Linked DNA regions of Oryctolagus cuniculus. The protein of the gene in region 1 purifies or fractionates together with the protein of each later gene. This does not show direct contact. Links are inferred from orthologs where the notes say so. Each region holds a gene or a part of one and is shown on either strand. Other genes may lie near its edges.

The links.
Region 2: the proteins of VPS72 (region 1) and ACTL6A purify together in Homo sapiens (affinity purification with mass spectrometry; 3 studies listed by BioGRID and IntAct, with this or other methods). This does not show direct contact. The link is inferred for Oryctolagus cuniculus from reciprocal best matches to the Homo sapiens genes VPS72 and ACTL6A.

The regions. Positions count from the first base shown.
Region 1 is NC_091438.1:46,923,257-46,927,073, forward strand, and holds part of VPS72 (vacuolar protein sorting-associated protein 72 homolog), read left to right. Parts: intron 1-3,202; coding exon 3,203-3,355; intron 3,356-3,788; coding exon 3,789-3,817. UniProt on the Homo sapiens protein: Deposition-and-exchange histone chaperone specific for H2AZ1, specifically chaperones H2AZ1 and deposits it into nucleosomes.
Region 2 is NC_091435.1:100,239,635-100,243,451, forward strand, and holds part of ACTL6A (actin-like protein 6A), read right to left. Parts: intron 2,041-3,817; coding exon 1,964-2,040; intron 1,792-1,963; coding exon 1,617-1,791; intron 1-1,616.

The DNA.
Region 1 (3,817 bases):
TCTGGCTGGCTTGGAGTGTCAACCATTTGTTGACTTTTTTTAAAGATTTATTTATTTATTTGAAACTCAGAGTTACACACAGAGAGAAGGCGAGGCAGAGAGAGGACTTCCATCCACTGGTTCACTCCCCAATTGGCTGGAATGGCCGGAGCTACACCGATCTGAAGCCAGGAGCTTCCTCTGGGTCCCCCACCATGGGTACAGGGGCCCAAGAACTCAAGCTGTCTTCTGCTTTCCCAGGCCATAGCAGAGAGCTGGATTGGAAGTGGAGCAGGCAGGACTCGAACCAGAGCCCAAATGGGATGCCGGCACTGCAGGCAGCAGCTTTACCCATTACGCCACAGCGCCAGCCCCCCATTTGTTGATTAATGGACAAATCTGCATCACTGATTGGAGAAAGAGCTGCAAGTCTGAGGTGTTGAGCCCAGTCGACTCCTCTTTCCTAAAGTGTTTGGGCTTTTTCCCCACTTTCTTTCCAAGGTGGCTGCCATTCTAGCCCTAATGTATATTACATTAGAGCTAACGCTTCAGATTTTCTACTCCAGCTCATCAAACTGAGCTCTGTAACTTTCTTAAATATACTTTGTACGTACTTTTTACCCTTCTACCTATTTTTCTCAGTAACTTTACCTCAACAGTGATTATCATGCTGGGACAAGTAAGGAGGAGGTAGTTGAAAATCATTGGCCCTCAGGTGTTTTTTTTTGTTTTGTTTTGTTTTTAAGATTTATTTTAGGCCGGCACCGAGGCTCAATAGGCTAATCCTCTGCCTGCGGTGCCGGCACACCAGGTTCTAGTCCTGGTTGGGGCGCCGGATTCTGTCCTGGTTGCCCCTCTTCCAGGCCAGCTCTCTGCTGTGCCCTGGGAGTGCAGTGGAGGTGGCCCAAGTCCTTGGGCCCTGCACCCGCATGGGAGACCAGGAGAAGCACCTGGCTCCTAGCTTCAGATGAGTGTGGTGAGCTGGCCGCAGCACACGGCCACAGCGGCCATCGGAGGGTGAATCAATGGAAAAGGAAGGAAGACCTTTCTCTCTTTATCTCTCTTTCACTGTCCACTCTGCCTGTCAAAAAAAAAAAAAGATTTATTTTATTTATTTGAAAGACAGTTACAGAGAGAGGTAGAGACAGAGAGAGAGGTCTTCTATCAGCCGATTCACTCCCCAGATGGCTGCAACGGCCAGAGCTACAGCAATCTGAAGCCAGGAGCTTCTTCCAGGTCTCCCATGTGGGTGCAGGGGCCCAAGGACTTGGGCCATCCTCCACTGCTATCGCAGGCCATAGCAGAGGGCTGGATCAGAAGAGGAGCAGCCGGGATTAGAACCAGCGCCCATATGGGATGCCGGCGCCTCAGGCCAGGGCTTTAACCCACTGTGCCACAGTGCCAGCCCCTGGCCCTCAGTTTAAAACTGAAAGTTTATTATCCTGAAATTGTAAACCTCTGCAGAGACAAAGTATAACCTTCTTTTCAAATCTTATAGTCAAAGTGGGACAATTACAGGATAGTCAATGTGGAAAGGTGGCTTCTTGCCAGAGATAAACCAACCAACCAACCTTCTTTCCTTCCTTCCTTCCTTCCTTCCTTCCTTCCTTCCTTCCTTCCTTCCTTCCTGTTGTTGTTGTTGTTGTTGTTGTTGTTGTTTTTTAAGATTTATTTATTTGGGTACGGCACTGTGGTGAAGCGTGTTAACGCCCTGGCCTGAAGTGCCAGCATCCTATATGGGCGCCAGTTCAATTCCTAGCTGCTCCACTTCTGATCCAGCTCTCTGTTATGGCCTGAGAAAGCAGTAGAAGATGGCCCAAGTCCTTGGGACCCTGTACCCATGTGGGAGACCCAGAATAAGCTCCTGGCTCCCGGCTTCGGATCGGCACAGTTCCAGCTGTTGCGGCCAACTGGGGAGTGAACCAGCAGATGGAAGACCTCTCTCTCCCTGCCTCTCCTCTCTCTGTGTAACTCCGACTTTCAAATAAATAAATCTTAAAAATAAAAACTTTATTTTTTAAAAAAGATTTATTTATTTATTTGAAAGTCGGAGTTACACAGAGAGGAGAGGCAGAGAGAGAGAGAAAGAGAGGTCTTCCATTTGATGGTTCACTCCCCAGTTGGCCGCAACAGCTGGAGCTGCGCCGATCCAAAGCCAGGATCCAGGAACTTCTGGGTCTCCCACGTGCGTGCAGGGGCCCAAGGACCTGGGCAATCTTCTATTGCTTTCCCAGGCCATAGCAGAGAGCTGGATCAGAAGTGGAGCAGCTAGGACTCGAACCAGTGCCCATATGGGATGGCGGCACTGCAGGTGGTGGCTTTACCTGTTACATCACAATGCTGGTCCCAACTTTTTGTTTTTCATTTTTTGGATTCTAAAGTGTTATCCACCAGACTAAAACCTGTGCCCCAGATCTGGCCCACTGTTTTGTTGTTGTTTGTTTTTTAAAGACTTATTTTGAAAGAGTTACAGAAAGAGAGGGAGAGACAGAGAATGAGAGAAGAGATCTTCCATCTATACTGGTTCATTCTGCATATGGGCACAATGACTAGGGCTGAGCCAGGCTGAAGCCCAGAGCTTCATCTGGGTCTCCCTCATGGATGTAAGGGTCCAAACACTCGGGCCATCCTCCTGTGGTTTCCCAGGCACATTAGCAGGGATCTAAATCAGAAGTGGAGCAGCCAGAACTTGAAACAGTATCCATGTGGGATGCCAGCATCACAGATGGCAGCTTTACACCTACTCCTGTGCTACCTGTTTTAATCTGGCCCTTTATAGAAAAAAGTTTCCTGATTTGTGGTCTAAAAGATTAAAGTTTAGACCGTTTCCCACCACCAACTGGTAGCAAATATGCCTTCCTCTGATTTGCCATAGTTGCCGTGTTGTACTTTATGTGTTGCCGTGTATTAAAACTTCTGATTGTGTCCTGTCCTTCACTAGACTGTGAACCCACTGAAGGTAGGAACCAAACCGTATGCTCTTGTTCCGCAGTACTTACCACAGTGTTCTGCGGGTAGAGGGCTGTCTGTGGATGTTGCAGGGGCGTGCCAGTAGAACCAGAGGTTGGCTAGGAAGGCTTCTCCCCTAAAAGGAAAGAATAGCTCGGTTGGGAAGGAGAGTGAGGCAGCCCTTATCAGGAAGGTGAAGAAATTCTGTTCCTCGTGCGTGCAGGGGCATTAACGAGTCTGCTCCCAGTAAGCCCTCGCCTCCTTGTGTCCTCAGGAGTCGGGAGATGATGAATATCAAGGGGACCAGTCAGACACAGAAGACGAGGTGGATTCTGACTTTGACATCGATGAAGGGGATGAGCCATCCAGTGATGGAGAAGCCGAAGAGCCAAGGCGGAAGCGCCGAGTAGTTACCAAAGCCTATAAGGTGCAGGGGATTCCTGGTTCCCTTGGACTTTCTGAATTCCTACTCTCTTCTTCATCAGGCCCAGAACGCTCCATATCAGCCCCATTTCTACAGTGCCAGTTTTCTCCCTCTCTTTTTTTTTTAAACCGTGCACAACAATTTATTTATTTATTTATTTTCCGAAAGAAACCTTTTATTTAAGGAATACAAACTTCATGCATTTCATAAGTACAGCTTTAGGAATATAGTGATTTTTTTCCCACCATACCCACCTTCCCCCCAACATTCCCACCTCTCCTCCCTCTCCCATTCCCAGTCCCATTCTCCAAATAACTTTATACACAGAAGACCAACTCTATACTAAGTAAAGAGTTGCCAGTTTTCTCTTGTTAAGATCCTCATCTTTCTCCCTACGTCTTCTGTTCTCTGGTATCTGATTCCAATCTGTCCCCAGGAGCCTCTCAAGAGTTTGAGGCCTCGAAA
Region 2 (3,817 bases), on another chromosome or scaffold:
ATAAATATAATCCACTTTTTTAAAGATTTACTTTTATTTATTTGAAAGTCAGAGTTACAGAGACAGAAGGAGAGGCAGAGAGGTCTTCCTTCTTCCAGTTCACTCCCCAGATGGCCGCATCGGCTGTGGCTGGACCAAGCCGAAGCAAGTAGCTTCTTCTGGGTCTCTCCTGTGGGTACAGGGGCCTGAGAACTTAGGCCATCAGCAGGGAGCTGGAGTGGAGGTGGAGCAACCAGGACTTCATTTCTCATTTGGGCTTTCATCTCCCTTACTGACTTTCCCGTCTCTAGTCTAGTGTCTCCCTCTAATTTAGCCTAAATATCACTCAGAATAATCTTCCCAACTGGCAAACATGAGCATATCACATTTCTGGGTTACCCTTCTAGGGTTACCCTTCAGTTACTGGCTTAATGGACCCTTGTGATGGTTTACAAGAAATTAAAAGAGAGAGATTATTTGAAAGACAAAGTAAAAGAGGAAGAGACAGAGACCTTCCATCTACTGGTTCATTTCCTCAAATAATCTGCAACAGATAACATGCTAAAGCCAAGAGCCAAGAGCCAAGAGCTCCATCCAGGTTTCCCATGTGGGTGGCAGAAACCCAAGTATTAGCCTTCAACCACTGCTCCCCAGGTGCATTAGCAAGAAGCTGGATCAGAAGCACCGTGGCACAGATTAATCCTCCACCTGCGGCACCGGCATGCCATGTGGGCACCAGTTCTAGTCCCGGCTGCCCCTCTTCCAATCCAGCTCTCTGCTGTGCCCTGGGAAAGCAGTGGAGGATGGCACATGCATTTGGGCCCCTGCACCCACATGGGAGACCGGGAGGAAGCGCCCAGCTCCTGGCTTCAGATCAGCACAGCTCCAAGTCATTGTGGCCATCTGGGGAGTGAACCAATAGAAGGAAGGCCTTTCTCTCTCTCTCTCTCCCTCTCACTGTCTGTAACTCTACCTCTCAAATAAATAAAATCTTTAAAAAAAAAAAAAAAAAAAAGTGGAGTAGCCAGGACTTGAAGCAGGCTCTCCATATTGGAATTCAGGCATCCCTTAACTCGCTGCACACAACTTTCACCTCTCCAAGTCCTTCTGTGATTCTTCTCTGCCTACCTTTCCTGCTATTGACCACAGCGCTCTCAATATTACAGTCATACTTAACTGTTTAACATTTCTTAACAGTTTGTTTCACAACTTCATTTGTGATGGTTCCTCTGCTTTATCCAATCTCATCAGCTAGGCTAATTCTTATTCACTGATCAAGATTCAGCATAAGTTACAAGTTACAGCACAGTTACAAGTTATCCCTGACTCCCCAGTGATACAAAGTTAGATTCCTCTCCTTTGCTCCCATTTCATAATGAACATAACTATATTACAGCACTTATCCTGTGGGAACTATATTTGTATGTTTACAACTGTATCACCTCCCAAGTAAGAGTTTATTGAGGAAAAGGAACATTTGTTATGCATCTTTGTTTTCCATATCTAGAACATCATTTTATAGAATACTCTAAATACTTCCTCCACAAAAGACTATGTTCAACTTACAAGAAGCCACTCCTCTAAGTCTAGAATGTTTCCTGTACTTTCTGACCAAATCCATGAAAAAAATATCATACCCATCCCATTTTTTAGTGGTGAAATGGCCTCCATATTCTCCCTGGGAACTCGTAGGGCATTGGTATCTATGTAGTAGGTGGGCCCGCCTTGTTTGCCTTTATCACCGTCTATTTCCATCAATGTGCTTCCATCATCTCTTTCCATCACCATACCAATAGCCGTTGGGAAATCCACCTGTAAGGGCCAAAAACATGATATGCAAGTTTCACCAGCTTTTATCAAGGAGCCAAGTTTTTTTTCAGCTAATGTCTTTAACCATTTTGTGTTGAATCAAATATCTTCATAAATTTAATGCTACACAAATGGCCCTTATACAAATACTCACTTGACTCTAATATTACATTACCTTGGGGCAATCTTCACCAGCATAACCAGCTCTCACAGTATAGGACCCAATGTCAAAAACAAGTGCGCCAACTTCATCTGAGAAGATTAAAAATAATTAACATTAACAACTTACACGTATCATGAAAATTAAAGGAATACTTAATGAGCTTAAAGGGAGAATATATGTAAAAGCTCTATGAAAAATTACAATAGTATTAGTTTGAACCTAGTTTTAAATGCATCTCAAAGATTCATTTACTTAAAATATAACAATTTATACGTTGTGTATTAGCAGAGGTTCAAAGAGAAGGAACTGCTACCAGAACCTGGTGAAAAGGTTCTAGAAGATGGGCTAACCTGTCAGTAGCTGTGAGCATCAGTTGCGGGCTGCAGTTACTTCTGAACACAAAAGGGGGTCTCATTAATAATTACTACTCTACCACTGGCTACATCCACGGAAAAGCCAAAGGCCAAGAGGGCTCAATGACCTGGACTCTAAGTGTCAGTCTTCACAGAGGCGAAATGGTGGAAAGTAGAGATAGTGGCCCAAAGGGAAGGAGTGAAGTTCATGTAAGTATCAATTTATCATAAATTAACAGAAATTGTACTTCATGTAATCAGGAAACTCCAGGAAAAATAGGGACTTGGAGAATAAAGAGTTTAATGTAATAGCCAAAAAAATCATCAAAATGAAAGTATTATCAAAGTCTGCATATTTCAAGATTATTAGGAGATAAAGTTTAATGCTGAAGAAGAAAGCTGGCAACTATTTGTCCATTTCCAAATTCAGAGAAAAGCTTCTAATTATACTTTTAAAATACTTCATCCAAAATAGGACTCCTAAAACAAAGCACCTTGGTTTTCAGGTCCTGACTTTTCAAAGGATTCAAGTATTTAAAAATAATAAATATTATTTACCTCATTAAATTGGCAAAAATTATTAAGTCTGGTAAGACCCAGTACTATCAAGGACTCAAGGGAAACAGGAGCTCTTACACATTTGCTAGTATAAGCTATAAACTGGTAAAACACTATATGTTATTAAGTTATATCCACTAAAGTTAAGAAACTACATACTTAGTGGTTATACTTAAATCTATTTGAGGGGCCGGTGCTGTGGGACAGCAGGTTAAAGCCCCAGCCTGCAGCACAGGCATCCCATAAGGGCAGCAGTTTGAGTCTCAACTGCTCCTCTTCCATGCTCTCTGCTATGGCCTGGGATAGCAGCAGCAGATGGCCCAACTCCTTGGGCCCCTGCACCTATGTGGGAGACCCAGAAGCTCCTGGCTCCTGATCAGCTCAGCTCTAGCTGTTGCAGTCATTTGAGGAGTGAACCAATAGAATGGAAGATATCTCTCTATCTCGCTCTGTAACTCTTTCAAATAAAATAATTCTTTTAAAAAAAAGTGTTCCAGGGTGAGTGTTAAAAAAAAATCTGAGAAACTGTCACATGTCACAAGAACAGACACAAGAATGTTCTCTAGCTATGTGAACTTGGGCAATTTATTAACCTCTGTGACTCAGTTTACTAATTTTTTTTTAAAGATTTATTTATTTGAAAGTCAGAGTTAAACAGAGAGAGGAGAGGCAGAGAGAGGCAGAGAGAGGCAGAGAGAGAGAGGTCTTCCATTTGCTGGTTCACTCCCCAATTGGCCACAATGGCCGGAGCTGCGCTGATCCAAAGCCAGGAGCCAGGAGCCTCTTCCAGGTCTCCCATGTGGGTACAGGGGCTCAAGGACTTGGGCCATCTTCCACTGCTTTCTCAGGCCATAGCAGAGAGCTGGATCGAAAGTGGAGCAGCCGGGTCTTGAACCGGTGCCCATATGGGATGCTGGCACTTCAGGCCAGGGCGTCAACCCGCTGCACCACAGCG